Linked DNA regions of Neodiprion lecontei. The protein of the gene in region 1 purifies or fractionates together with the protein of each later gene. This does not show direct contact. Links are inferred from orthologs where the notes say so. Each region holds a gene or a part of one and is shown in the gene's direction. Other genes may lie near its edges. The genes, in order: chromatin assembly factor 1 subunit A and chromatin assembly factor 1 subunit B.

Region 1 (15,454 bases):
CCGTCGGTACTCATTTCCATGAGCATCTTCTTGCCGCCGACGGCGTAACGCTGCCGTTTCAATTTGACGCTTGTGAAAATCCAGCCTGAAGTTTCGATGGCAGATATGTGTTATCGAGTAATCGTCTGTGCTCGCATACATAACATAATATGCATCATGCAGCACCGTGGCTGGATTTTCACGCACGGCAAAATTCTGACGCAATTTCGGATAAAAAATAAGCTTCAGGCGACTGTTGAAAACCACTCGTTGAAAAAATATGTATATGGTTTAATGGGTTTGGTGAGTAAAAAGGGTTTGATTTTTTCAATATCAAAATCCATTTTAAGGTAGATACAAATTTTGTCGCTGTTTGTGCTAATTTTTCTTCCAACAAGTTTCATACAAGTCGGTACGACGTTGGCCAAAAATTGGAATCTGGGCTCTGACCTCATCAACGACTGTCATATCTAAAAAATTGAATCATGATTATTAAGAATCTCATGGAAATGATGGCCTTTTCAAATGATAAAAAAAAAAAAACGATTATTGTAGAAATCCCGCTGCACTGTCGGAAAATTTAAACTGATCTCATCTTGTATTATTCTGACTATCTTGCTCTGTTGGCAGAAGAAAAGTGAAGTCGAGTTATGAATTGAAAGGCGGTCGAATGAAATGACCGGATTCATAGAATTAGACGAAATGCGTTCGTTACCAATATCAGCGACAATCATATCTTCCGCGAACTCCAACTCCTTAAGCACTTTTCCCCAGGGATCCGTTAGCTGCGTGTGGCCATAAGCTACGTAACCAGAACCGTCTACTTTGGCCGGAGATACGCCGGCAACATAAAGCTGGGCGTCATTGGCACGAGCGCGTTGCAGAAGAGACCAATGCAAAGGTCCGGTAGTCATGTTAAAAGCACCAGGATAAAACATCAATTGGCACCCTGACAAAGGATGAACAGCAGAGTAACTACGGGAAGGCGGGTACGCGGTAAGATGCTTGGATTGATTGCGGATTACCTAAGTTACGGTACAGACGAGCCAACTCTTCAAACCGAATGTCGTAGCAGATTCCTAAACCAATCTTCCAGTTCTTGATGTGAAACGTAAGAAGTTCATTGCCAGCGGTGAGGATGTCACTTTCTTTGAATGTCATTTTTCCTTTTACATCAATGTCGAACAAGTGCACCTGTACAAAGTTATTAGTTGAAAATCAGGTCTTATCAACATTTGGGTTCAAAGTTGAATTTCCGCAGCCTGCGGGGCCTGCGTAAGGCGCCCCATTTCCGAACAGTGCGGTAAAACGACGTCGGCGCATGCGCACAATTAAAATGCGGTATTTTCCACATTACGGCATTCTTTGATTAATGGGCTATTTCGATTAACTCAATTTTACGCACTGTATTATTGATCGTAAGTTACTTCAATTTATCTAACTGCCAGTGGCATCGTCAATGCTTCCCAAATCGAACTATCTGCGCGGATATTCCAAAAAGTAAAGTACGTGTGTGACACGTCCAATGAGTCATTCCACGTCAAACCATAGATTTTTAAATTTTATTTTTCTCGCAACGAAACATCTTTTCTCACTGGTATAAATATTGAAATGGATTTTTCACCACGATCTGCACGACCAAAAATTCTGGAAAAAAACACTAGCGTATTCTTCGTTCAATGTCCAATAAAATCCGAAATTTTTATGATCTAGAAACAATGTATTATAGGTGAAAAAGAATGAAAAACATTTTCCGCAGTGTTTGAAAACGTTACGCACGCTCCACAGACTTCGAAAACCGGAATTTCCATGTAGTTGTTGTAAAATATCCGATTTCGACAATGATTAGCAAGTGCGTTTATATTTGGTGTTCTTTGCCAAGTGGATGAAACTCTGACCATCGCTATCTCAGATGTGATTGATAGGGGTGTGCGGGTACCCGAAATTTCGGGTACTTTAACTCGGGTTCGGGTCGGGTTTGCATTGGGTCGGGTTTCTTGGCAAGCCCGAAATCTTCGGGTAGTCCGAAATTTTCGAAAATCTCTGTTCGCTTTAGAAATCCCGGTATTTTTGTAGAAGCGAAAACAGCCACGAGCAAAATTTTCGAAAACTTCGCAATTTTCGGCAAACCCAACATTTTTCAGGAATTCGGGAATTTTAGTAATACGAGTTTTTCGGGTAATCCGAAAAAATTGGCAAAAATACCTTTCTATATTTTCCGATGAATTTTCCTTCGGAATCCCAGACCGTGCAAGTGTTGAAAAACTTTTCCCCATCTCTTTCCGGAATCGAACCACCGATTACATAAATTCCATTTTTTTTAGCTGCAGCTGATAGCGCAAGACTTGTTTCACCCGCGGGAACATTTTCAGCGTAATTTGGAAAATGTGCTATTTTGTGAAATAAAATAATGTCATTGAATTTGTCTCTGCAAGACGGTAACCGGGTCTGTCGGTCGTGAGATTAATTGACCCGCTAAGAATATGTATAGGCATAATGTTGATAAATTTCATAAAAGTTTTTGTCTTTTTCATACAGTCCTGTAAAAAGAATATGGTAAGAATGTCTGTAATAAGTTAGGCAAAATTATTAATTGCTTTCCGTACTTATGTACGATCGTTACTATCGGGTAGTCTTATCGTTATTTTGTCACAGACTTGTCATCAAAAAAGGCATTAATTAGAAGGAGTTGTGAAAGATATAGACGGAAAAGATCTCGAAATAAGAAGCTATTATGAAGATAATTGAAGTTGTATTAAAATAGTAGAAAGCGAAAAACGAACTGGAAGCACTCAACATATGGTATATTAACAAGCATGTACACAAAAAATTGTGGCATCATGTATAAGGAATCTAATCAGAGAAATTAAAATAAATGCAATATCTAAACCATTAAAGACAGTAATTAAACCGAATGAAGAAGTAAAACGTATAGGATTAATACAAAAAAAAGGTTATCAGACGTTGAGAATAAGTGTTGCTTTTATAGTTCGAATCATATAGACCAACGTCACATATTATTATAATAAGTATAATAATATACATAGACTCATAGAGATACAATAGATAACAATACAGTTTATATTTATGAATTGCTATGTGAAAATTGAAATGTATTGAACTGAAGATTACAACAAATTTTGAATTTCTAATTTTTGTTCACATAATATTAGTTGCAAACGTATTATTTGATTTGATTAAAAAGAAAATAGACAAAAAAAAAAAAATTACGAAAAATTGTCGCGGTTTTGTCACATCGTCAATAACACCATAACTCTCAACTACAAGATGCTATAGAGATAAGCAGACTTTCGATTTCAATTTTAGACAGTATACCTATAGTAAAATAAAAAATTTCCCTACTGAAATGACACAACGTTTTTGACACTAGTTCTCCGGCTATTTCTGTTCCGCGTTGCATGTAGAATTGCGCTGTTCGGCAATTTTACGTCAGCGATGAGTGAGCTATGTTAATAGTCAAAATTTGGGGACTCTGGTCAAAGTAAGTGGAATATTATTCGGTCGACAAAAACCATGTATTGCATTCACTCAAAAGTGTACCGGCACACAATGTACTCATAGAATTCATCCCTGTTCACTAGTATTTTCTTGTGTTTGAACACATACTAGTCAGACAAAGCTTCGGATTTTTTGACGCAAGTTCAGTAAACCATAATAAAACAAAACATACTCATATTTTTCAATCTTCGATCCTTCAAAGTCATTGTAAAAATAAGAAAATAGTGATTTTTTCCCAATATGTCGTTACGATAACGTTACTAACTTCAATATCGTCACTCGGGCATTTATAGTATGTATGTATGTATGATATGATTATAGTCAACTCGATTTCATGCATGATCACTGTTTGTTGAATTAGAGGGTGCAGATTTTACCAGTTCCATAAGGTGAATTGAAGCACTCTGGCAGTGCAACGACGTCGGCGCCTTGTTGTTTTGCTCGTTCGACAAAAGAGATTGCTCGAGAGATGTTTGTCGCTTTATCGTCAGTTACGGCAAGTTGTACCAGGGCCAATCGAAGACCTTTAATAAGATATGTATTAGATATATTGACATTATCGATCGCCAAAAGTACAAAATTGTTTCCATGAAATTGGCAAAAATCATCGTACGTACTTGCCATTGCTTTACTTGACTGTCGAGCGATATTGCTCAATGCCATGGCCATGCAGATACTAACTGATAGGTTAGGTCCGATTGGCTATATTATGTGCTACAACCGAATGATGCGACTTATGCTAACTACTTGTAGCTACTGATAAGAAAGAGATGTGTGTGAAGCAGCATTGAAAGACGAGGAATCCAATTTTAGGAATACACATCGATGTATTATAGTATTCTAGATATATTTCAAAGAACTCATGGAAGGAAAGAAGTTTGCAGCTAGATATGTAGTAGAATTTAAATGCAGTTAACATCAACTTTCTCACGTTATTTGAGGTTGAAGGAACCAAGATGTTGCCAAAACTGAAATATCAAATATAACAATTATCAGAATGGCACTGTTGTATTTATTCGTTCTTTCTAACTTGAAAAGCCAATAAAAATATGTGTATTGTATTGATGATAAGGTACAATGTATAACCAGTCATTTTGGTAGAGATGCATTTCTATAAGGTACACCATCCAAAGTTATGGAATGTATTTGAAGCATAAGTTCAAAAAGAAAGACAAGAAAATGTTTGGTTTCATCGAGTACTTCCTCACCAGCATATCCAGCCTTTTGTAATGATCAGTTCGACAATGAATATTATTGTTTATGCGAATGGTTGTGGGTTGTGGATTCGAAAGCTGCTCGTTTGGCCTATCCAAAGCGTCTAAATAATATTTTTCTCACCCCGCTGTTATTCTATTTTCATTGTTAGTGGTTATCTCGTCGGTTTCATTATGTTGGAAGGCACAGTATAGTCGCAAACTTATATTTTGACTTCATTATAGTCAAGGTAGAATCTTAAAAAATGTAACAATTTTTCTTAATGAAGAGTATGTACTGTGATACTTATGTACAAGTCTGCAAAAGTATCAAGTATAAAGCTCAAGTCAAGTCCACTGTCAAGTATAGGATACAGCGGCGATTCCTAAATTAAAAATGAACAAATTTTATTAAGAAAAGTTTATGATACAATTGTTCGTCCAGGGTAGTCATAAAATAAAATTACGTTATGAATGAAAATCATTTTCTAGGTGACCTAGATCTGGACCTTTTATGTTTTTTGCGCTTTCTTCGTTCTGGCGATTCGGAACATCTTCTATCCTTTCTTTTCTCCCGCTCCTTATCCTTCTTTCGATTCTTTCTACTCGATCGTTCTGCCGAACTATCGCGATTCCGGTGTTTCTTAGATTTTTTAGATTTTTTCGGCTTTTTTTCGACCTCGCTACTATCCGAATCATTTCTTTTTCTTGTACAATCGGGACTACTGTCGTCACTGCTCGACCGTCTTCTGGATTTCTTCATTTTTCTCTTTCCACTGGTAATGCTTTCATCGTGTTCTTTATTTTCCTTTCTCCCTCTTCTTTCCTCTCGTTCTCCATCCAATGATTCTACGATAGGCAAACGACTCTCAATGCCTGTGTTATCTGTATCTTTATCCTTGTACTCCTGATACTTGGCAGAGTCTGAAAATTAATTCAACGATATATTAAAGACTAAATCATCAAGTTTTTACTTGACATCGAAAAGTTTTTAAAAGGGGTTTTTAAAAAGGATAATTTCGGAACAACTTGCAATGAAAATCATACGCAATTTTGTAACTTATAAGACATTGTACGATAATCCAGTTTAAAAACCCCGTACAATTAGCCAAAATCTACTAACTTAGGACTTTGCCATTTTTCAGATACTCTTCTTTTGTCACTGCTTGAACCACAGATTCATTTACAGACACGACGTTTCCTCCTAGTGCCATTTTCACTATGAATCTACCCGCGTCGTCGTCGAGACCTTCAATCTGCCCATAGGAATCCTTTTGCTTTCCAGCAATCAGTTTGACAAAAGCTCCTTTTATAAGTTTCAGTTCTTCTTCTTCCTTTGTTCTTGGTTTACTGTTTTGTTTCTGCATTGTTACTTTATCTGCACCAAGTCCCATTCCTTTTGGCCTCAGGGCAGGTATAGATGCTTCGACTAATCTAAAAAAAAGATGCAATGTTTACTTTGTTATGTGAACTAATCATTTCGCATTCAATATGTTATTATATTAGTAACTGGGAAAAGTAGGTTTGACTCCAATGTAGTGTTATTTGTAAATATTCGTACTTCTCATTTTTACCAATTCCTTTACCAGGTTTCCACCCCATGCCACGTAGCATAGCCATTCCATAAGCGTCAATTGGAATGTTCTCATAGTCCTCCAAGGTTGACTGAAATAACAAATTAGCTCTATGAAGGATATTTAGTTCTATTTTTTGTATCCAGAAGTGACCAAAACCATGGATTGGTAATTTTTTTTTGGTAATTTTCAGTGGAACCTAAGGTCTCTGACTTGAAAGAACTCATTTTATCCGTACAGTAGAAGTTTGATAACTTTGCAATAGAATAGATCAAGTTCAACATCGAACCTAATAGCTTTTGTACGAAAATGTTCATGAAAAACTTGATCACGCAACTACAGGTATGAGTAATATTAAAAAATTTAACTCTAAAATGGTGACTGGAAAAAAAGGACAATTGTTATAAATTTAATTAAAACTTGTAGTCGACATATAATATTACAAATGATACATATTGCTGATAAGAATCTCGATGCAGAGTTGGCAAGGTGCGCTGTTAATAAGAAGTAATGTTTAGGAAAGTAAAACCTTTTTATCGTGAAGAATTTGTCATTTGTAGCACCAAGTCTTCTGTAAACCAGTTTTCATAAATGTGACCAGTCAAAAATGCACTGCCATGACGTTTATAACAACCCAGAAATGCGCTTTTTGAAATATTTCTGATTGACCTAGCCTCAACAAATTTTCCAACGACGTTTAACAGAAGTTTGAATGTCCATCTGCAAAGTCGTATATTGTCGACTGTTTACTGGTAAAGTACTCACAGTAGAGGGGATATGTTGTTTGCATGCATGGATATATGCATGGCAAGAAAGATAATTAGGCGGTGATTCAGGAAGTAGCTAGTTATCGAGCTCCTACTATAAATATTTGAAAAGATGTGGTCATAAGGTATTCGGGAAATTATCAAGAAGGAAATATCACCAGAAAAATTTAGACAGACTTTCAAATATTCCTATTCCATTACTTTTGCAGTGTACTGATTTGATCTCATTTTTCCAAATTCATTGCGTTTCATAAATATTAAAAGAATCGTCAACGGTCATTAGAATATTTCTGATTTGTTTGACAGAAAGTATAATTTTTTATACTCACTGAACCCAATAAATTAACACCGTCATTCGAAACTCCAGTAAAAATATTCGTACTTGTAATGTGTGATAAATGGTTGCTCGGCAACTGTAGGAGACCGTTATACAAGCATGTGCCATGAGCGTGAGGTACCGTTTTGTTGGCACAACCTGCTAGGCTAAGCCTCTTGTCGATTTCTGTGCACTCATGTGTGGATTCGAATTACTATAGTTCCGAGGCAGTCAGATTTACGGAAAACTCAGTATGATAAAATATAAGTTTTAAAAATGCCTCTTTGGGAGGTAGATAAATTTTACAAAGCATTTGGTGTAGAAGTGAATATTACTAAGTATAATAAATTACCTCTTGTTCACCAGCTAAGGAGGCGGCATCTTTAACAGGTAAGGAAAAAATACTTGGGTCTTTGCCGTTAGTTTCTGTGCTATGCAGATCTTGTAGGATTTCTTGCGCCGCTTGCTCTTCCAATGTGTTAGGCAGTTTGGATTCTTCAACTTTGACCTCCTGTTTTATCGTTGCAGATTCTACAGGTTTTATGTCAGCTTCGTCAGTGTCCATTGCGCCAATTGGCTCCTTTTTAACCACAATATCAACCACATCTCCATTTGAATTTGTTTTCACTTTGGGCTCAAAGATATCTGCGTCAATTTTATTAACTATTCTATCATGCCAAGTTTTTGATCCTCGCATAGGTATCACCAGCGGTTCATCTTCTTTTTTATCTTCCAAACTGCAAAAGCCAAATATTTAATTTAAGGTTATGTTTACAAATATTGGTATTCCTGTGCTGCTAAAGTGGCGGCTTACCCAATAACCTTTATCGCTTTCTCATCCAGACACTCAATATAATCAATCTTCTTTTTGTCGTTTTGCACTATATTTTTCAAAACTGGCTTTTTTATCGATTTTGAAAAGCCGAACGAAATTTTCCTCACCTCGTCGGCCATGATTGACACTTGACAAGCTGATCGTGGCTTTAGACTGGTCTACGAATCATATAAATTCGAATTGCAACCATAGGCAGTGAGCATGGACTGCTTCTCTAGACAACAAATGTGTCCCACCCAGCCCCCTGACACACGCTGCTAAAAGTGGTTCGCAAAATGTCCCTCGATTCTGCCGCCAATCTCGACCACTAGTGGCGCTAGTAGTTGTCTGGCGTACCAAAGTCAGCCTGTCAGTAATTTTATATGTATAATATATCTTCCGTCACCGCCATGATCAGGAAAGCGCTAATGAATCGAGAATCCGAATAACGCGAACGTGGTATTTTTTTCAGGCTCATAAAGCTCCATGCTCAAGCTCGTTTTGATTTGGCTTCAAAGCACTTCGAAGTGAAGTTTCGGAACACATTGCCGTACACAAAGTTCTCAAATCACAAGGCAGAAAACCTGTTGAATTCCCGCGCGATTTCTTATGTGGGAGGTAGTATCGTGTTATTTATCAAACGATTCAACAATTTGAAGTAAATATTTTCAAAGTTTAATCGGTATCTCACCTGCAACATTTCTTCAATGACATGAACATATTATCAATTTTTTTCATTCTCTATTGCTTATTCAACTTCATGTCAATTTAAGAGGTTATAGTATTGCGAGCAGTCAGTAATGATTTGCCTCGTTAGCATTTATACTTCTATAAGACCGGGGATCGTTTGACTAGCAACAATCAGAGGTGAAAAATTTACTTTAAAAATCTATTAATATTTTCGACCGGGCAACTAATTTTCTTGTCAGATTGTAAAAAATTCTTGACGTGCTCTGGATACGAATATCATTGCAGGTATTTTACAATGAAAGTTATGGAAGTCTCCGTTGAAGAAAAGGATTGCACTAACGAAATAGTTACACCTCCCAGAAAAAAAATGAAGCAAGGTAATTTTAAATACTTTCATTTAATTTTGCGATTCTATCTATTACAAGAGCCAAATTCACAATTTTAAAGTTTTGGACTCTGGTGAACAACATCTTCAAGTATTTGACATGAGCCAAAAATTTTTACAAATCATTGTATTCACAACGCAATTGATTACACAACCTAAGGTCTGTAATAAATTTCAGCAAGAGATTTGTTTAAATCCTTTGTTAATTTTCAGCTCAACTGCCATTTCAAATGGTCAGTTCATTGGGGTCGCCCAATACAATCGGAAACAAGAAGAGGAAGCTAGAATCACCATCACCGGTGGAAAGCAAAAGTCCTAGGACTGGGAAGATAGTTAAAAAACAAAATGCGTCCAAAAGGGCCAAGAGTAGTGAAGTTGAAATTATTGAAGTGGATGTTTCGGATGTGGAAAATGTTTGTGATCAAGACAATGTTAAGGCGTTAGTGGAATTTAGAGAAGAAGGTGCAGCCAAGCATGCTGAAAAAAATCCGATTGATAGTGAAAGTGATGTCAAGAAACGTAAGGATTACGGTTCGTTAAACAGGTTTTTAAAAAAAGCACAGAGCAAAGAATCAAAGGATGATCTCCAACTTTTAGCAATGAGCGATTATGAAAGCGGCAGCAGCAAAGATAGTGATGCTTCATTGAAAGTAAAATTAGACTTACAAACATCAAAGGAAGTTCTCGAGCAAAGCTCCAAGAAAATCGTAGAGCAAAGTTCGGAAGAAACTGCGGAACAAAGTTCAGAATCTAAAAATTCTACAACTCAGATCAAAGAGAATAGCGCCGTCTCGACAAACATTACAGAATCTCAGTATAATATCGAATCACTTCAAAATACTGAGCAGAACACCAGTACTGAGGAGAAGAAGCTCCTTCCTGAGGAGACGAAAAATTCAGACACTGATTCAACTTGTCATCGAAAGGATAGCATACATTCTGATAGCATTAATGCTAAGAATGACGAATCGGATTCTGATACTGGTGGTTCATCATCGGACGAAGATGTAGACGACGACCCAGATAAGTCTAGTAATGAGAATACAGAAAAGGATAAAACTTTAGAAGAAAATGACGGAAGCAAAACACCTAGAAGTGAAAAGTCGGGTGTATTCAAAAATAGAAAATTAACTCCAAAACAGATTGAAAGACGACTTCAGAGTGCTAAGAAACGCGAAGAGAAGCAGCAGTTGAAAATGGTATGTTTCTTTATATTTACTTCACCCAAAGTATCTTTTGTGACTTTTATGACAAGTAAGTAGTTATAACAGTATTATAGTTTTTAACTTGTTCACTCAGGAAAAAAAGAAAAAGCGAGAAGAGCAGCGTGAGAATCGTAGAAAACAGAAGGAGGAGAAGGAGAAACTTGAGAAAGAACAAAAGCGGAAAGAGAAAGAAATGAAGGAGTTGAAAAAGCAAATTGAAAATGAGTGAGTACTAAATACATGTATAATTTCTATCTAGAATGTCAGAACTGTAATAAAAATACCATATACCTACTCGTGTCACAAGACATTGTGGTAAAGATTATAACAATTTTTTTGTGCAAACTTTATATTAGTTTAATCAGTCTTAATTTTTGCAGGCAAAAACAGAAAGAGAAAGAGGCAAAGGAGGAGGAGCGTCGGAAGAAAGAGGAAGAGGCTGAGCGTAAAAAACAAAAGGCTGCATCTAATTTTGCAAACTTCTTTGTTCCGAAAAAGCAGGAAACAAAAGCTCTTGAAGAAGACGGTGTAGTTAAAGATCAAAACTTCATGCCATTTGAAGTCAAAGTAGATATGAAGGTAGCTCCGATAACCAGGAGGAATCTTAATAATGAAACAAAATTAACTTTCGATGGATTGTTCAACAAAGGAGTCTTGAAAAACGAATTATATCTCAATCAGCTCAAACGAAATCGCAATGATGTCGGTAGATCCGGAAGAACTTGGCCATGTGAGACCAAGGATGATGTTGTTATCATTGGTAATTAACTATTATGTATCGATAGGCTTAGGTGCATTTCAATACAAAGTACCCAATTTCAATTCTTCTCCATCGATTTTTTATTCTGAACTGTCAGTGGCAAGGAATACCTTGAGTTTTTAATTTCCCATTTCGTGTCTATCGAAATAATATTTTTCCCAGAATTTTTCCACATAGCTTCGCAAATCCACTTCCAATGGTCTCTAAAATAAGAATGAGCATTCATTTTGCAAAGTTTCAGCCAAATACTTCCTGTTGTACATTTCGGCATGGATTTATTCCAGTTGCTTGTTTTTTATTTTTTTTTTTTTTTTAATAAAATTCATTTGTGCGGTTATTTAGTACTTATTTTTGTCATTGGAAAAAAATGTTAAACGAGCATTGTCAAACCCGTGGCGTAAAAAAATGTCATACATTCGATTCATTCAATTAAACTCAATTAGAAGTGAAGTATAGAGAAACCAATTTGAAAGAAGTAGTGAAAACGTAAATAAAAGCTATAAAATAATTATCCAGGTAATCAGTAATCAAATTGAAAAAATTGTTTTCACAGTGGATGGTATATGGATTATTAAATTTCAAAGGACAATGTCTACGTCAGTTACTACAAAACTCATTTGATTTATAGTTCAGATATATAAGTAAAGATAATAAAGTAAGGGTTATCTATTTCGCACCATGCAAAGTAATCTTGATAATATGTTATACAGATGAAGAAGATAGTTCCTCTGATGCGGTGGACCAAGGGGATGCCGCAGTTGTAGAAAAGCATCATCCCAAGTTCTTTATGTTCGCCGAGAATCGTCGACCACCCTTTTGGGGAACGTGGAGGAAGAAAAGTACGCATATAAAGCCACGGAAACCGTTTGCTAAAGATCCGGTAAGTACTTACAAGTTTTGCATTTATTTATGCGTTTTTGCTTTGGCTTGGCAGACATTTAGTCGGAACGTTAAACCAGAACCGATGGTTTAACCTTTAATACAGAACGTATGTATTAAAAAATGTGGAGAAGAAACGAACAAGATTAACATTTCAATGCATTGAATTATTTCCAAAAAGTGTATTACATGTTTGTCAGTGTCAATCGTGCAACTATCGGTTTTATATTCATCCATGCTAATAATTTTTAATTGCCATCACAAAAAGAACTAAAAGATATGGGTAGAATTATCTTGCGGGTGTTAAACCATCTTTTTGAACGATGAATTAAAAAAAAAAATGATGGCTACATTAGGGTGATCCTTACTTGGGGTGTTGATGATTTTTTTTCAGACTACCCCCCAAATCAACTATAAATAATTCAAAAACAATTTCCCAATTCTTTCAGATTTTTATATCAATTCTAACCCGTGCCTGTAAATGGATGGATATCACCATTTAAAATACACCTGTTTCAGATACATTCTCAGCATATATTTTATTGTAAGAGTGACGATGTTCGAATCAATCTGTAATTGCGAATATTTAGTGAGTATTAGTACTACTATCTGAGAAAAAATTCACATCACCATACCAACCAATCTCGACGAATTGCACACTCTAGAAATTTGACGTTTTCTTTTTATCTATAAGAAATGCAATTGTCTATATTACTTGGTATGATGATGTGAATTTTTTCTCAGATAGTAGCACTAATGCTCACTAGAACCTCACATTCATGGATTTTTTTGAACATTATTAGTCTTACAGCAAAATATATACTAAGAACGTGTCCGAAACACGTGTATTTTAAATTGGGAAATCCTTCCTCTTACAGGCACGGGTTACGGTTGATATAAAAATCTGAAAAAAATTGTGAATTGTTTTTGAATTATTTATAGTTGGTTTGGGTGGGGTGATCCGGAATAAATTCGGCAACATTCTAAATGACGACCACCCTAGGCTACATACTGGTACTGGTTTGTACTGGTTTCGTAATCCAATTCGTTTTCGTTGTACATGACAAGTAATTTTCTGTTCATTTCGTTGAATTTTGATTCCTAACAACTACCGAGCTATCTTATAAACCGTTGCATATGAAAACAAAAATTGATAGAATGCTATTATTTTTAAGGATGAACGATAGGTAATGTTTGATGTTTCTTTTTGTCGGAAAATGCACGCACCCATAAGTGGATTTCGCGACATCGATTTTTACGACAATGTAATTCTCAAATCGTTAGTGCAGAAATTATTTCTAATGTTGGAAAAAACCTTTACCTTGGTTCGTATCGTCATGGGGTAAGAAGATCGAATTTTTATACAAAGATTACATCATAGGTTCATTTCGAAAATCAGTGATTTAATATGCAATTACCGAACGCGTAGAGCCATATTTTTTTTTTAAAGTTTTAAGGCAGAAATTTCTGGCAGTCGATGGTGAAAAGTAAGGTCAGAGAATTCAACCAATGAAATTCACGGCTAAATGATTATATATGTATAAAAAAAAAAACATTATGTTAGTTACTGTAATTTCACAGTGTCAAAGTATAAAGAGTAAAATGAGCGGAATATTGACAGAAAAATAATTAGTTGGGAATATGTTTTTGCCGGAAAATCATAGATAAACTAATAGAATGATCGTACTGATAATTTTCAAAGTGACAAAAAGAATTATACATAAAATTGATACAAAAACATTTATGTTGGATTATTTTTTTTGCAATTTCGCATTTGTTTCATTCTAATTTTGGAAACTAGTGTAACTGTTACTTTATAAATAGATAATCATTAATGTCAAACTATAAGAAAAACAATATTTGGCTGGACAAAAATCAAGCATGGTTAATAGGATGGAAATTTGATTGCGATCAGAAATTTCACATGTATATAGAATTTTCTTGTATTGCATCTCGTATATGATACTGTTTCTACTTGATCCCCATATCGTTTGTGAAAATCTGAAAAAAGACGTTGGGGATTCTCCCGCCCAGTGCTACAATCTGGGAAATCATGAAATGCATTCAAGAGGTTGTAAAAAAAGTGGTTCTGTGACGAAGACAACATATATACAAGTACTTGATAATGATCTTGACCTTGTAGTATAAGTGTTGTAGGTTGTATTTCCAAGATCCACCACAACATATATACAAGTACATTTTGTGAAATGTTTTTTCAGCAGTGTTGACTGAGAAAGAAACAGAGAGCGATAGAGACAGAAATAAAACAAAGAAAAAATAACCGATAACGATAGGTATGTTGTATGGATTGGGTTACAAACTAGGAAAAGATAAGAGAATTCCGTTCCTGTTTTTCGCTTATATACACATTTGATATATCTCTAACATGTGCATCCGTAACATATGTACAGTCTCCCTATCGTTTGATTGCCGCGGCATACGCTGTAAGTACAATTGTCAAAGTATTATTAACGCGTCTTGCGTTTTAATACAACATATTTTCGAAAATGAAACTCTATTCCGTGTTAGAATCGCGCTGCGATTTCAACTATGACGCAGCAGACGGATGGTCGACTTTAGTTTGCCTCGAGATGTAATAAACACCTTTGTGATCAAAGATACGCTTCAGAAATGCATTACTGTAAGAACATACAGCAGATGTTTATCACGGAAATACGTGCCTCCTAACTACTCGTATTAAGGGTAAATGGGTCCCACTCTCAGAAGCAAAAGTTGGGGAACGAGAACAAAATGTTTGGAATTATCTTCGCGCCATCTAGTAAATATGAATCTGGGCAAATGAAAATAAGATAAACTGAAATGTTAACAATTTGAGAAAAGGCGTATGATTGAAACGTATAAAATGTAATACCAAACTCTGGTGATTTTTTTAATCCAATTATAACGTTTTGGGCTTGTTTTGTTCACCATAGCGCTATCTAGAGATAGACTGAAAGTTTTTTTACAATGAGTTATCTCCAGAGCGGATAAAAATATTATAAATATTCTTGAAAGTTTTTGAAAGGAAATGAATTCTCAAAATATGGACTGCGTGCGACACACTGTTCATTTTCTTTGACCTGTACTCGCTGACAAAATAGAAAAATTAGGACAAATCTCGGCATTGTTGAAAACTTCAAGGCTAGGAACTTTAGTCTAGCGGTTGTTCTTTACTTCGGAAAAAAATTGTACAAATTTCTAGTTTCACAGCTTGTCTTCGTACACACGGCTGTGAGAACTGCACAAAATACTAAAACAGTCTTTAAATCACTAATAACACTGGTAAACAGTCGTGTTTTGTTGCGCTTGATATTTGAGTGTTCTTAGTAAAATTTGATGTCAACGATCTTAGAAGTAGGTAAGCGTAGTTTTT
Region 2 (16,373 bases), on another chromosome or scaffold:
TACGATGAACGATCATATTAATATTTTTCACAGTTCTACAAACCTTATTACAAAATCCTTGAATACAAGGTGTGCCATCTGGCAAAATATCTTGGGGATCAACAGGGAAACAAGTTTCATTGAGGCTCATTCTGCAACATCGTTTGCACGCGTCTAGAACTGGAAAAATCACAGATACTTCTGAGTTAGTACCTCTTGGACCTCAAATAATAACGATGAATATCTCTGCTTTTCAACTCGGTCATTTTAGAAAGAAAATTAGTTTTTATAAAGGTTAACTTACTTGTATCACACATGCAACTCTGAAGTCCTTGAGTTTCACAGTACGGAATGCACTTTCCGTGACGACATTGACCTCGCTCCAAGCATCCAGTACCGTCATTCATTGGAGGTGATCGAGGACATTCACTCGATGCCCCAGTGCATCTTGATTCCTGTTCACATGTAGCGTACTGAGCATCGCGGCACTTTATCGCAACTGGCATGAATGCACAGTTTTGGCAGCACGGAGAGTTCTTATCGCTGTTGAATTAGAAAAACAAAACGATGTTAGATGTATTGAATCTCGCAGTATGTCTTATCTTTTTTAAGCAAGTTATGTGTTTTTGTAGGATTGAAGTCCCATCTCACCTGCAGACGGCGCCTTCGTTACGACGTAGTTTACAGTTCTTATCGCAACAAGAATCATTGTCTTCTGTACCCAAAAGACCTGCGTCACACTCCTCATCGCCCTCTACTCTCAAATTTCCACAGAACGATTCTTCTGGTTCAGAGAAGCATCGGCCGGACTTTGCTTGCAGTACTTTTCTGATTGAGCGTAAACTGCATGGAGAAAAGCGCTGCGCAAAATGTAAGTATTATTTCTCTTGGCCATTTGTTAATTTTAGTTAGAAATATTACCTTATTATTGACGTCATATCCACTAACGCTGTATGTATACATCAAATAAGAACCTCCTTGACTGGCACTAGGGCTACATTCCTGTGTAAAGATTCACAATTTATAAGTGTCGGCCTATGTTAGGAACAAATTTATAAATAAACGATTTTGACTTGCCGTTATATCCGGATCATGTTCTGATCCCCAGTTATGTCCAAACTCATGGGCAGTAACGAGATCAGCTTCGCGTGTGATTACTCTTTGACCATAGTGATTCCGGCTTGAGCTCAGTCCAGAATTTAAGTACAATGTGTAACCGTTTTTAAAGTATTCTGGCAATAAAATAAATAGCAAGGTAAAATCATTATGCGAGTAAAATATACGAATGCATTGATGAATCTTTCTCAAAGTATTCGTATTTTCTTACCCGGAGTGCATATTCCTCCAACGGAATTTCTACGTGGAGAACCAACGTATGCCAAGCCTAGTATTCCTCCCTCGAATTTAAGATCGGTGAATAAGTGCGCCAAACAAAAATCCTTGTGACTATATTCCCGGCTAAATACCTGAAAATTGTTTCAAAGTTATTGGGAGCAAAATTTCTTTTTCCTTCGGTAACGTGCATTACGCTTCGAAAACAAAATAGTTTTTTTACCTCAAGCAGAGTCCGAACGTCCCACTTTTCACGAACCATGTTGTAATGGATCTCGCCCCCTCGCATGCGGGTTGGCTCGCTATGTACAACAATTTTTTTAATTACAAAACCCATTCCCTTGAATCCATCCTGCTCTTGACGCTCCTGCCACAAAGTATCGTTGTATATTTTGTGCACTCTATCGATGAGGCTGATCTGTAAGGGACACTGGATTAGCTAACAGCTCAAATTAGTAAAATTATAAATTAAAAAATAGCTTGTTTGTTTACCAAGTAATTGATGGTTGTTTTCGTATTGCTGGCTCCCATTTCTTGATAAAATCTGTAGTCTGCAACCAGCAGCAGAGGACAGCGAGTTTTAGTGGGCGTATATTCATAAGTATCCGTTTGTCTTTTCGTTCTATTGTAAGCGTGCACCACTTGAGTGCTGATTTCGTTTTCTAGCTCTTTATCGTCTTCTTCATCTGTACCATCAGCACCTGGAATTACAAATCTCTATTATATCTCCTCCACATCTATAGAAATCCAGTTTCAACCTGCATCTTCCTTAACATATCCGCAGGTCTTTGGAACCCCATGAGTGTGTCCTTCACCACCCTCGTAATGTTCCCAGCTCAGCTTCACATTTGATCCTTTATAGACGATCATAGAACGATTATCTGCGTGGGGTAAATGTCTCCAGGAAGGCTGAAACAGGGAGATCATTTTTGATATTTAGTAGACGAGTACCAGTGCACAGAATATTTTTTTAATACAACTGTGTAGTTGGTGTTATTACTTCGATGTGATAAGTGTCATCATCTGGTACTGTTATTGTCGCTGTCAGCATTCCATCATCAACGTGTACATGAGCATATGAATCCACTTCTCCAAAGACGCGTCCATGATAAAAGTTTTCATGGTCTATACAACAGATCATAAAAGACGGTGGATTAATTAAATTTATAAATAATTTAACAGTCTTTATGCCTTACCAACGTGAACTGTGGTTTCTTCACCATCTTCGTTCACCTCATATGCCTTGAAATTAGAATGTATGACCTCTCGCCTCGGGGTGAGGAATAGGCGAAAATTCCTAAAAAACAGTTGAAACACGTTTTTGCATTGTGCAAAAATATTGGGACCAGAGAAGTTGTCATTCATTGGAAGTGAATGACTTATCAATTGTCAACTCACCTGCCATGAGTGTAGAATTCTACTTCGTTTATTTTGTTGAACGGATGATAGCTGTGCTGAGCACCTCTTTTCACAATTTTGTGTTGAAAATGAGATGCGTGTAACGTTTCGTAATATTTTAAATTGTCGTGAAGACTGCCTGTAAAGAAAAATAGCCTGTAAAAAAATACCGATCGATCCTTTAACTAGATTTGACAGATCGTCAATTTTAATTAAATCATCACTAACAAGTGTTGCAGATATTGTGCAGTATCAACAAAATTGTCAATAATAAATCGCGCGGCTTCATGTTATCGAGCCAAAACCACTCGGGTAAATAACCACCGCGTTTTTAATTGTTATTCAATTCAACCCCAACTTTGATCCCATTCGAAAGTCACAAATGACAGTCACATGTGTCATCTGATCTGGATTCTGGCTTCTGATGCACAGATAATAAAAGTCCTACGCCCATGACCAATGGTTTACGCCATTTTTTAGCAGATTTGGTTAAAAATATCAAGACAGCTGCCTTTCTTACTGAATTATGCATGCGTGTACCATACGATACGCTTTTAGGCTTTTCTGCTCGCACGTAAGAATGCGTTGGCGTTGGTAAATCGTATGTGTGGTGTACGCTTGCTTGCTGACAGCTACACATTTACAGGCTATAGAATCCAACAGAATTGTATAGAATTTGCTGGAAAGCGCGTACAAGATAAAATCGGCCCTCGGGTGGCATTGTATCAACAGATTTGGGTACAACATTTGCCCACTGACACTAATAGGCAAATAAATTGGAATCATAGTGATGTCGGAATCAGAAGAAAAGATGTTGCACTGTTATAATCGTGGTTGTGGTAAAAAATATGATCCTGAAAATAACAAGGAAGGTAAGTATTTAAGGTTATCTTCTTTATTAAAATTTAAGAAATTTTATCTTGTTCTATTATGTATGTACACGATCTCGACACAATAGCAAAAAAGTTTACAAGTTTATTATTTATCCATGACTAGGTGATTGCATTCATCATCCTGGACTGCCTGTTTTTCACGACGCTTATAAGGGCTGGTCGTGCTGTAATAAAAAATGTACAGACTTTACGGAATTTCTGAACATAAAAGGCTGCACCAAGTCCTTTCATACGAACGTCAAACCAGCTGACCCGGAAAAACCCGCCGTTGACAAATCTAGAATGAATGAAGTCATTGAAGTGAAACCTCTGGTGAAAAACGTTAACCTAAGCTTGCCCAGACCTCCTTACGACAGCCCTCAAGTTACTTTGATACCTGTTGTATCACCTGCCTTACTGCAGCAAATTGAGGGCCTTGCTGTACAGGTCACAACGTCCACAGAGACTCAAATTCCGATTGGTGAAATGTGCAAGCGGAAGGGATGCAAAGCCTCGTATACGAAGACTCTGGCTGATCAAGAACCGTGCACTCATCATCCAGGTGTACCTATTTTTCACGAGGGGCTCAAATATTGGTCATGTTGTCAGAAAAAGACAACAGATTTCAGCGTTTTTTTGGAACAACCTGGCTGTTCTCAGGGAACCCATCTCTGGCTGAACGAGGTAATTGCGTTATGACGATGTGCCTGAAATCAAAGTTTAACTAATATATTATACATCTCTTGTGATCTATTTTTTCTATGCACGAAAGTCAGCTTTATCTCTTTTCCTTAGGCTAAGAGCAAAACCATCAAGTGCCGAATGGATTGGCATCAAACCGGAGGGTTTGTTGTTGTTTCCATATTTTGTAAGAAGTATCAGCCTAGCCGGTCGAATGTTAGATTAAATCCAGTACGATTGACTGTGGATCTGTACTTCCAAGAGGAAGATTCCAGATATGAGCTGGATGTTGAACTCAGAGGGGTAAAGTTTCACAATTAATAACAATTCAATGTCGAATTATTTCATTTCAGTGTAAATAATTTTGACAACAAACAAATAGCTAAATTTTGATTGGACAACTATATTTCAAGGATTATTTTTGCACTATTTTAGGTAGTCAATGTGGAAGAAAGTAGCGTAAACATGTTGCCGACTAAAGTAGAAATAAAATTGAAAAAAGCTGAACCAGGGACTTGGGCTAAGCTTGAAACCGCAAATCCAACCAAAACGATAGAAACACCTCCTGTCCTACAGTCAGAGTCTGAGAAAGAGGAGAGCATAACCGCACAAGTAGATGCTGTAGACCTCAGTGATCTTTGAAAATGTAGACTGTTTATTACTTAAAGTTATTTAAGACCAGAAATATCAGCACAAATACATTCGTGAATGATTATCATGTATAAATTATGCAGTCATTTATTAATCTTTTATCATAAGTTGCTAATTTTGGAACGAGGTGAACAATTCCTCATTTAATATTTACTTTTTTTTCTTCAGTATTTCATCTAACCTCTCTTATGTTAACGTTATTGCACTTGTAACTGCTGCAACTGATCTTGAAGCTCAGCAAATTTATTTTGCAAGATACGTTCTCTTTCAGTTTGCCTATTGACGTCTTCCATGAGTGCATTCAGTCGCCTTGGTACTGCAGCTTCCTCTTGTGCTTGGAGAAATTTGAAAGTTGATAGTTCGAGGTGAGCCTGTTCGATTTGTTCCCATAAGTCATGTATTTGTTTTGATAATCCTTGTGCACGTGTCTGTGAAAAGATGTTAGCAGAAATTCATAAAGAGGAGCATATTGATAATTTGAATTTTGTTGAATTCAGAATCGTTCAATCATGACATCACGATACAATTCCACAGATATTACTTTACCTGATAGCCTCCAGTCAATATTTTGAGCTTCTTCTCCATTTTCGCTGCACGTTTTGCTTCCCCAGTCATATGAACACGGTTTTCTTCTAATTTTCTTTCACATGCTTCGACCCTATCTTTCTTTGAAGCTAAAGTAGCTCTTGTGTATCGCTTCTGATTCTCCAGATATAGAATCTATAATAAATAATCGATTTAATTTTTTAATCACGTTCATATAATTCTTTGCGTGATGAACTGTAACAAAAGACGACAAAAACAAACCTGTGACAGACATTCTTCCCAGACAGTAGAATAGGCATCTAAACTTAGTTCTCCATGTGCCATTCCTTCCCGCACAACTGCCATTTCTTGCTCCAAAAGTTTACGAGCCTGTGAAAAGGTTATACTTCAGTTAAAATTGGAGCATAGTATAAAAAAGTCTCGATACCAAAATCAACTTTATTTTTTGTAGGGCAGAACGTAGTATTTGTCAGATAGTAACTTCACTTACTTGCGCAAGTTCTTCTGGATCGTAGTCTATGTAGGGATGCTGTTCCAGAAATGCGGTAGCTTGTACAATTGAAGAACTTGATCCTCGTTTGGTAATTGTAGTCACTGGGTTTTCCAGCGAGTCGTACTGAAGCATTGTGATCATTTCTCTCTTTATTAATTCTTCGGCCTGAAATGAATATTTAATATTTTGAATTTTCATAATCAACATTTACTGCTACATTTGATTATTGGACTATTTTCTGTTTCAATACCCTCTGCAAGTCCGTTAGTGGACTATCCATAAGCGGTCGCAAGATGTTCATATTGATGTCTACGGGTCTGGGCATATCTCGTTGGATCACTTGTGATCTTTGAGCAAGATCCCTTTTTTCTGAACAATAATCAATCAAATTTTCATGACTTTTGGATGAAATATAATTTTGAGCAAATTGATAGTTACTTCTGGATTACGAAACTTACGCTGCTCAATTATTTCCTGTTGACGTCTAGCATCAATGTCAGCTTGATCTTCTATTATATTGTCTGAAGACTCGTTTCCTTTTTCATCATCTCCTTCACCTTCAGGAACAACTATTTCATAATCATTCCGAGGTGTGGGTAAAGTACTTAATCCAGCACGTAGCTGTTCTTTCACCTAATAAAAAAAAATGAAAACTGTAATTCTACTATGGAATCAGCTGATGTGCTGATGAATTGCTGATCTTTTCGGGTACAGCTCACTATTCTCATAATTTGAGAATACCTGCTTGTGAAGAGCAGGGGTCTCTGAACCTTCCAGTCCTTCTTCTGGATTGATACTCAGTTTATCGCGAACAGGTGTCGGTACCAGAGCTCCAGCTTGACTTCGTGTAGATGTTGGCGTATTGAACGAATTTGTAGGTGTACCGTCAGTGCGTTGTGAGCGGAATGGCGTTGCCAATACAGTGTTGGGTGTAGCCACAACATTATTAGCAGGTAAAATACTGCTGAAATCCGAACTGTGTAGCGGTGTATTCAAACCACCTGCAAAGTTGATTTACAAAACATGTGGTAACAGTTTTTAATAACGTTATTGCAAGATTTGTAATCTAAAGACGTAATTTCATGAAAACGAAGTTCACCTTTTAGAGGTGTGTCAACATGGGTCAAAGCCATCACATTTTGAGCCTCCTGGAGAATTCTGTCCGTAGCAGCTGGTGTGCGAGGAGTTGCTGCTGCACTTGGAGTCAGAGAATAGTCCGCCAATAAGCTGTCGGATAGTGTCACTCCACTTTCTGTTGCAACTTCTCGAGCCACCTAATAAAAAGTATACTACATCATTTGTATGTGCTTATGTTGACTGAAAACAAGAATAAAATTGTGGATGGATTGAATACTCAATAAAACATATGCAACACTTGATACCTCAGAAGCTCTACCAAGCTTGACAACTTGTTGTAATTCTTGATCAGATATCTGTGGCTCTGGCAAGACCAGTTTACTCCTCTTTTTAACTGGTTCTTGATTGTTTAGCATTCCCATTGGAATATCATTTTCTTTTCTTTGCTTGAGCTTTTGCTTGTCCTTGCGTCGCTCCATCTACGATTATTATACAATTATTTGGACCAAATAGAATGAGAAAAGTTGCTCTTAACACTTATTGGTTGACTTCATTCAAAATAGAATTCCACATATTGTACCTCCTCCTTTTCTTGCCTCAGGTCTCCATCTAAATGTTGTTGACGCATTCTAGAAAAGTCAGCTGCTAGGGGATCAACATGTTCTATTGATGTATCATAAAAACCAAGTGCTGGCCGTTTTTCAAATGGTATTTCAGTGTTGTAGTTTACGCCACGTTTGCGTTTGTGTTTCTGAGACACTGTAATTCCAGCAGCTCGTAATTCTCTTCGTTTCTGAAGCGCCGCCAATCGTCTGGCTTCTTCTAACTGCTTCTCCCTGGCCTTACGCTTAGCCTTTTTACCTTGAGTATTTGCTAATCTAGCTCGGGCCTCCGACAGCATTTCAAGTTCTGGATAAAATTAGAGATTATTATCAAGTATTTTCTGAATCAATGAACGTAATGAATTTATTAGTTATAATCGTAATACATGTCAACAGTTACCATCTTCGTCCATATCCTTTGGATCAGGGCGAGCAGGTTTTGTCTCTGGATTGGGATCAATTTCGCCTGGTTTTAATTTGCGAGGATCATCAGCTGCATCTTCTCCTTCTTCTTTTTTTTGAGCTTGATCTCTGAAAATTAAATAGTATTCAATGGAGGATAAGATTAGCGCTAATTCTCTATTACTGCTGACTTTTAAGACATGACTCAATCGTACTTACAGCAAATATTCGTAGCGTTCTAAACATTGGGCAGCGGTACGTCCGATAATTGGAGCTATGGTACGCCATTGTGTTGGCATTAACTTTGCCAAATGCAAAAGCTTCTCGTCTTCCTCTCGACTCCATTCTGTTTTCTTTATACTTGGATCCAACCATTCGAACCATCGTGCTTTACATTGTTTAGCAGACTTTCTGTGAAGCAGTGAGGCTATACGTGACCATTGGTTTTTTCCATATTTCATAACCGCTGCTTTGAGAATTTCATCCTAGAAAATATATATAAATTGCTACGTGTGTATAATTATGTCGGACGAAAAGTTTCCAACTCAACTATTATACAGGTATGAGGTAAAATGAAATGAAGTAAGATATATAGTACAGTGAATTTTGATGCAATGATCTGTCCAGAAATCAAGCATAATTATTTTTGAATTATAACCGAAGAATTTAGAGTGCTGATTTTGAGTATTATCAGCGGCTTTTATCTCGCAAGGTTCGGCGCATTTGAAATTCATAATCGAGGTTAGAAAATTGTTACTTACTTCGGTGTTGCGCCAAACACCACCTTTTATCATTATACGTGGCATTTTGTTTGTAATTTAATTAACTACAAACGAAATAAAGTAAGAAGCCACGAAAATTCTCGCTAGCATGAATTTTCGCTACAAATTGATTAAAGGTGTAATTCGCTCTCAATGAAGTTGATGGCGTCAAGGTGGCGTCAAGAGCCAATGCTACCAACAGTCAGGGTTGCAATTTCTTAATTGATCGACCTCTATCGTGACTTTTAGGAACTAATTGTCTCTACAGAGTTGAAACTCCCACATGCACCGATTTTCTTCATTGTTCTCTGAACCACAGACTACGTTGGAGCGTTTCGCGCGAAATTCTTCGTGCAGTACAAAATCAGGTTATGTGTAGAAAATAATAATCACCGATTGAAGTGTGGATTTAATTTTAATAAAAATCGGGATAGACGAAACACGGCGCAGTTAAAATTATCGTTTTCTCATACATGTTCTTCTAATTAAACATAATGAAGTGTACGATTCCTGAAATATCCTGGCATAATCGCGATCCTGTTCTGAGTATTGACCTAAAACCCGGTGTAAATAAGACTTCGGACGGTAAAATATTTTGGCGTTTGGCTACTGGTGGTGCGGATTCTCATGTTCTGGTAAGTAAAGAGTTTCAATTTTTACCATCGCGAATTCTGGGTAATTGACCTGAATGAAAAGCCTAAATTAGTTTTAAAAGATATTCGATTTTTTCAACCTGAATATTGTGACCAAATAAATATTATTCAATTAATTTGCAATATTTAATCTAGATTTGGCATCTCACAGTAAATGAAGTGGGAGCAACGGTTGTGGAGTTTGTTGGGGACTTGAGTCGCCATCAGAAGGCAGTTAATGTTGTAAGATTTTCTCCTTCGGGTGAAATCCTTGCATCTGGTGATGACGGTGAGCAAGGAAAATGGAGTAATACAGTTTTTAACTCTGAATTATTTAATCCTTAATTTTTTTAATTCATTCTTTCAGAGTCTGCGATAATGTTATGGAAAGAAAGGGGCGAATTTGAACCACCCCCACTTGCAGGGGATGATACAAATCAGAATAAAGAACAATGGAATTTATGGAAGATCCTTCGAGGCCACGTCGAGGATGTTTACGATTTGAGCTGGTCCCCTGATTCCAATTTTTTAGTCTCCGGCTCTGTTGATAATACTGCCATTCTGTGGGATGTTGAAAAAGGGCGAAGCATGGGTATATTATCAGATCATAAAGGATTTGTTCAAGGAGTTTCATGGGATCCGTCAAATCAATACGTGTGCACATTAAGTACAGACAGGTAGTAGAGCATATAGTTTTCGACAAAAAATGATCTTTCTCCCGTGCAAATTGGGCTCACAAATTTCTTTGTCCACAGGCAATGCCGGTTATTTGATATAAACACAAAAAAAACTGTTCAGCGCGTCAGTAAGGCCAAGATCCCCACGCCAGCCAATCACCCACTGAAAGACAAAACTGTACGCTTGTTTTATGATGACACTTTTCAATCCTTCTTCAGAAGACTTACGTTTTCACCCGATGGCTTATTGATTATTGCGCCATCTGGCATTATTGAACCTCAAGAATCTTCTGAAAAGTTGTCCAATGCAACAATTATCTTCTCCAGGCATAATATTAAGGAGTATGTACGATTACATTACATTTATTATCGGATTTTTGTATGCAGAATTTGGAAACATCGCTTTTCTACTAACAGACATGTCTAAACGCGATATCTTTTAATTTTTCAGGCCTATAGTAGTGTTGCCGTCTTTGGAACAATTTACAGTAGCTGTACGTTGTTGTCCTATTTACTTTAAGTTGAGAGAAGATGGCCCGGTATCGATGATAGGAATTCCTTATAGAATAGTATTTGCAGTTGCTACAAAAAGTTCCGTCCTCATATATGACACTCAACAAGTTTCTCCAATTGCAATAATTTCGAACATTCATTATACCAGATTGACAGACATTGCGTGGTGAGTTAAATGAAATGCTGCGTTTCACAATGCACAGCAATACGACATTATTGCATTTAAATTCTATTTGTGTGTATTTCAGGTCGTCCGACGGACGTCTTTTAGTCGTTTCGTCAACAGACGGTTATTGTTCAATAATTCATTTCCAAGACGGAGAATTGGGAAATGTGTATGAATCTAGTTTGGTAAACATAAATGACACGACAGAAACGAAATCTGTGCATTCAAATTCATCCAAATCAAAGCGTAAGACTAATAATGCCGAGAAGACTGAATTCATTATTGATATGTGCAGTGACGCAATGGATATTGACATTACGAAACCTGTGAAAGCATCTGACTTTAGCGAAGAGGCGAATAATGGTAATAAAGATGATAAACTTGTGAAAAACGTCCAAAATACAAAGTCGACAGATGTTGATGACGTAGTTCTTGAAGAGACGGAAGATATAAAACTTGTTTACACAGAAGAAAGTAACACAGAAAATATAAGTGACATTGTTAAAAAAACACCTCCAAAACCAATAGTTCCTAATGTGATAGCAGCTAAAACTCCGCGTAGGGTACAGCTTATCACACTCTCCAGTCCGAGAAGTGGGAAGAAGAATTGACCGTTAAATTTAGGTAATATATACACACGTATCTTTCAAGAACAACATCCAATCAACGACAGTGTCGTGAATCTTCAGTACGTCATTAAAAAACTTCAATCCAAATAGTTTATTATGCTAATTTTGAGCAAGTAAAAGATTTCGTTGTTACAAATGTAGTTAATCAAGGGTAGATTTTTTTATTTCTTGAAATTATGAAAAAATATGCAATATAATCAGCATGATAATTAATCAGTTGAGATTTTTCGCAAAGAATTTCTTCTTATCCACCGGATTCGGAATGATCTGAAATACAAAAATCATGTTCGTTAATAAGAGTCGTTACTTACGTGTGTAAAAATTAACAAATACAGTACTGCAGGTACCAAATTGCCTCAATATTCTGATACTTACCGTGTCTTGTCCTGGTTTCCAGCCAGCCGGGCAAACTTCACCGTGTTCATCTGTATATTGGAATGCTTGTACGAGCCTCAAAGTTTCATCGACTGATCGTCCGACAGGGAGATCATTCATTGTAATTTGGCGCAGTACTCCTTTACCATCGATGATGAAAAGAGCTCTGTAAATAGAATGAAAAAATATTTGGCGATACGTCATTTGCATTTTTATATGAAACATAAAAACAAACATGAAAAAAAAATAAATAAATAAGTCAAACTACCTTTACAGGTTGCGAAGTAAAGCCTCAAATGTGTGATCACGTTACCTCAAAGTATGTCCAAGATCTTCCAAGTAAACTCCATAATCCTTTGATATCTTATGAGTGAGATCGGAAAGCAAGGGAATTTTAATATTTTCAAGACCTCCTTCCTTTCTAGGCGTGTTTATCCAGGCGAGGTGAGTGAACTGTGAGTCAACAGATGCAGCAATGACCTCAGTGTTCAATTTCTTAAATTCATTTAATCGATCCGAAAAAGCAAGAATTTCCGTGGGGCAAACAAAGGTGCTGAAAATTCAGAAAATCTAAATAAATGTCGGTAAATTTAAAAAAAAAAATTTCATTCCCATTCCAGAGACTGTGAACTTACAAATCCAACGGATAAAAAAAAAATACTAAATATTTTCCCTTGTAATCCGTGAGCTTAATTTCTTTAAATTCGCCTCCAAGAACAGCCGTACCTTCCCAGAACGGTGCTTGTTTTCCAACTGAAACAAACGGTACGCATGGTTAATTTAGATTTTTTTTTTACAAGAAACAGGTCAATATGTATTGGAATCAGTGCTAATCCCACCACCTAATCAGAGATTAGATAAGATGATGATACGAATTTAATACACCTGCTGTTAATATTGTCAATAAGGTGTAATAAATTACAATTTCAAATGGTTGGTATTCAAAAGTCCCATATTGAGATGAATTGAGGAAAACGAGATTGAATTCTCGTAAAGAAGATAACTGTACTTTTTTGCTGATATCAATAACTATCAAGTATTCAATGTCGTGACATTTCCTTGATTTCTCATCGCATTATTCTCGCCAGTTTTAGGAAAGACATGAAGATAAATTCGCTAATGAATTTTCGGCCCCAACAAATAAAAATATTTCGCTCAACTCACTGACTGCTTGAGTTGTCTGCAACTGGTGACCCGCGTGTTTGGTACCGGTTGGATATACGGTGCCACCAGCGAACGAGTAACACGCTTCATCCTCACCGAATAAGCCCTCACTTTTCGTAACAAAGCACGAAAATGCGATTGTAACGAGAATAATCAGTAGCCGCATCTTCGAACGATTCTGCACGTACGCACTTGTTACAACGCTCCACTTTATTCTCTCGTTCTAATCTATACGCCCACTTTTTTAATCTTACTTGTTTCTTAAAACCCGCTTCGAAAAAAAACAGCGCCCCGGCGTCGCCGTCCGCCGCTTCGCGCTTGACCTACGAATCAACAAAAAAGGAATACGCGAATCCAAAGTCGTAAGCCCGCTTTCCATGTGACGCATTGAAGATTGGAAGCATGCATCCTACGCACGACGAAGGGAGAAACCCGATTGGTGGTCACTGAATAATGACAACAGTTCAGTATCGATAATACCCGTTACTCCCAAGTTATCTGAGGATTACTGTAACAAATTGATCTATCCAATTCTGTGTAATTCAAACTGCGGCTTTCAGCGTCACAAGAATGTTCGTTATTAGATTTTGAAATACTTCCTATATTTGAATTTGGTACGCGATTATACTGAAATCGCGCGCATGCATTTCTCTTATGTGGATTCACGATACAACATGATTAGGGTGCGTTCCTGACACGAGTAATGCTCTTGCTCAGGCATCTCTAAGAACCAATCGCGTGCCTGGAACATAAGGCCGTCTTAGATCGTCAACTAATCACGTGCGAGATTGTTTAGGGTTCATTTTGAGGTGTGGAAATCCATGAAAATCTTCACAATTAGTTTTCCCCTCATTACTCATGTCTTTGTTATTAAAAATACACTGCATGTATATATTCTTGTCTCGTGGTTCCTATTTCAGGCTGTCGAGCAAGGTCTGCAGAATATCAAAAATCAATGTGTTCCAATCGAAACATCGTTATATTTACTTGCATTGTCATTGAGGACGATCCCTGCGGACGCCGTGAGCGCGGCAGTATGCGGAACGTACAAAGCATTTCCGAATAAACTGGGATCTGAATAATAAACGTGGTAGTACATGTTCAATACGACGATTCCGACGCAGAATAATATTGTCCAAGTCTCCTGCAAAACGCCACTCATTATAACGCGGTTAGGTTATTGCTGGTTTTTTGATCCGCTGCATTAACGACGGGTAGGAAAAAATCGTTTGTGATTAATCGTCGCCTCCATTGGGTCATAAGTAACTTCTAACGTATTATGCGATTCATTCCAGAGCTCAAAGTGTCGTGCGTATTTTCAATATAACAATCGTTATTCGTTTATGATCTCACATTTGACGCGAAAATATAATAGCTCGAATATCGAGTCCAGCTGATCGATCTGGGTTGTTTTGTTCGTGTCGAGTATCGAATATCGGAATCACGAAGTAATACTTGCGACTAGAAACATGGCGTCCGGCCTGGTAAATCGCGTTCAGATTGCTTTACAGAGATTTGATAACATAATTGTGAATATTCTGAGTCGGAGATTTCCTCCAGGTACGGAAGTTACTATTATCCTTTTTCTCAAAGTTAGGAGGGTCGTGTCGAGGCCTAACAATGAAAATACCGATATTCCAACCTCACTTTTTGCCCGTCTTAACCTGGAAGCTCTATTTCACGTGAAACTATATCGGAGCGTTCAGCCGGTGACAAAATCTCGGACAAAATATCCGAATGAATGAATGCCTGTAAATAAATAAGCTGTTAGTGACGTGCGTTTGTTGGCTACATGTCCGAGATGATTGTCATGGGTTTCACTCCATGAAAAGTATAATCAGTCAATTTGTAAATAACAGATTATGTATGATTTTGGTGTGCATGGAGGTCTGACTATCATAATTCAAAATAGCTCGGAGTCGATTGTATTGTCTGTACCAATAGATCATTAATAATTTCAGAAGCGTTATGTGTCGTCGAATTGAATGAGGGGCAAAATTGGCCGCAGCCGATCCCTCGAAGAAGTCCATTTTCCATAGAGAATATTATTGATAATGGTTTTCTGTGGGGTGTTCCCACACATAAGCGAACAATTGAAAAAAGATGGAAACGACGCTTTGGAAACCCTAAGTATATTTCGAAATTGTTGTCACCGAAAACAAACATTTTGACTTGTCACACATGTGGACACGATCACGAAGCTGGTATTCTTTGCAGTGAGTAAGATGATATATTCCCCTGAGAAATCTGTTTTATTTTCTAACATAGTTAGCAGCTTGTATTATTGTGCTGAATCAGAGTAACGAACCAGGTGAACGAAGAGTTTCACTGAATTGTTACGGATTTTTTTGTCCTATCTATGTCTATTATTTTTCAGGACACTGTTACGACAAAGTAATGGGTGAAACAAAAGAGATGCAAACTGCTATTGTGAATGATTTAGGTTTGAATCCAGTCGAGAAGGATGTCATTGTTTTATATGACGGTGAAAAGAGTGAGGAAATGGTAGATTATTGGAAGGTACGATGAAATGCTTTCACTGATGTTACGGTTCATGCCAACTTTGAAAGGTTGTTTATTTGACTGTCTTATGTTATTTTCGTTTCACTTTCTGCTTTTCTTGCAACGTAAACAGAACAAGAAAATCGTGGAGGTACCTAGAAAGAGGCCGAACTGGTTCCAGAAAAATCTACTTCAACGAACAACGGAGGTACCTTCCGACAGTAAAGAAGTTGAGCCCACTCATCTGGCGTAGATACATTTTTTTGTGGAAAACCTTCAGTTCTCTGGAGATACTTCAAGTAAAGTAGAATAAAAGTAATAATAATAATAATAACTTGATAGAAATTTCTCGAATAAACGAGGAGATCCTAATACGGTAATTATTATACATGTGACTAATCGATCCCTTCCATCCGTATTAAACAATGTCAATGAAAGAAGGGAGAATATAAATATGTAGTTAGCTGATTTATGAAAGAAACCTTGATAGTTGAATCGGTTGAACCCCCCTCATTCACCGGTGAAACCAGAAATTTAAAAAATTTTTATAGATTTAAAATGCAGATTTCAAGTTATAGTAGTCGATTACAATTGAAAATCTGCATGATTTTAGAAAGAAATATCCAAAATAGGCTTATGGCCTTTCCTCTTCGCCTCGAGGTTTACGACCGACTATCGAGGGTTCGGTTTACGAGTTTTGGGTTATGGATTAAGGCTGCGCGGTTGGTGGTTTGCGGTTTTGGGCTCGCGATTCGTGGTTTATGGCTCTCCTAGATCCGCGGAAGCGTTGAGAGCTTGAGGTCGATACGTGACTATTGCCCAGCTTCAAATTTCCCCCTACAAAAACCCCTTTGGCGATGAAATCGTCATTAAAAAGGGTATAAAACTCGCTTCGCACCGGGCGAAAATCACTCAAATATG

The links.
Region 2: the proteins of chromatin assembly factor 1 subunit A (region 1) and chromatin assembly factor 1 subunit B purify together in Drosophila melanogaster (affinity purification with western blotting; 3 studies listed by BioGRID, with this or other methods). This does not show direct contact. The link is inferred for Neodiprion lecontei from reciprocal best matches to the Drosophila melanogaster genes Caf1-180 and Caf1-105.

Annotation. Positions count from the first base shown.
Region 1 is NC_060263.1:21,165,845-21,181,298, forward strand, and holds the start of chromatin assembly factor 1 subunit A, read left to right. Parts: upstream 1-8,440; 5' UTR 8,441-9,029; intron 9,030-9,137; 5' UTR 9,138-9,147; coding exon 9,148-9,229; intron 9,230-9,450; coding exon 9,451-10,436; intron 10,437-10,536; coding exon 10,537-10,667; intron 10,668-10,822; coding exon 10,823-11,202; intron 11,203-11,912; coding exon 11,913-12,082; intron 12,083-15,454. Other genes in the region: omega-amidase NIT2, read right to left, coding at 358-449, 695-928, 1,005-1,173, 2,185-2,369, 3,876-4,167; G-patch domain and KOW motifs-containing protein, read right to left, coding at 5,173-5,615, 5,815-6,125, 6,253-6,356, 7,701-8,085, 8,163-8,302.
Region 2 is NC_060260.1:4,634,569-4,650,941, reverse strand, and holds chromatin assembly factor 1 subunit B, read left to right. Parts: upstream 1-8,987; 5' UTR 8,988-9,288; coding exon 9,289-9,429; intron 9,430-9,582; coding exon 9,583-9,715; intron 9,716-9,793; coding exon 9,794-10,103; intron 10,104-10,181; coding exon 10,182-10,445; intron 10,446-10,554; coding exon 10,555-10,782; intron 10,783-10,864; coding exon 10,865-11,393; 3' UTR 11,394-11,406; intron 11,407-11,487; exon of another isoform or gene 11,488-11,624; coding exon of another isoform or gene 11,625-11,678; intron 11,679-11,786; coding exon of another isoform or gene 11,787-11,952; 3' UTR 11,953-12,099; downstream 12,100-16,373. Other genes in the region: ADAM 17-like protease, read right to left, coding at 44-159, 284-522, 631-839, 901-981, 1,057-1,211, 1,307-1,445, 1,535-1,729, 1,804-2,012 and 5 more; cysteine and histidine-rich domain-containing protein morgana, read left to right, coding at 3,500-3,581, 3,706-4,265, 4,377-4,565, 4,698-4,904; cell division cycle 5-like protein, read right to left, coding at 5,111-5,341, 5,460-5,633, 5,721-5,828, 5,950-6,117, 6,203-6,321, 6,411-6,585, 6,694-6,953, 7,052-7,226 and 5 more; peroxiredoxin-2, read right to left, coding at 11,625-11,678, 11,787-11,952, 12,100-12,339, 12,422-12,539, 12,951-13,116; 39S ribosomal protein L32, mitochondrial, read left to right, coding at 14,420-14,510, 14,912-15,166, 15,328-15,470, 15,586-15,705.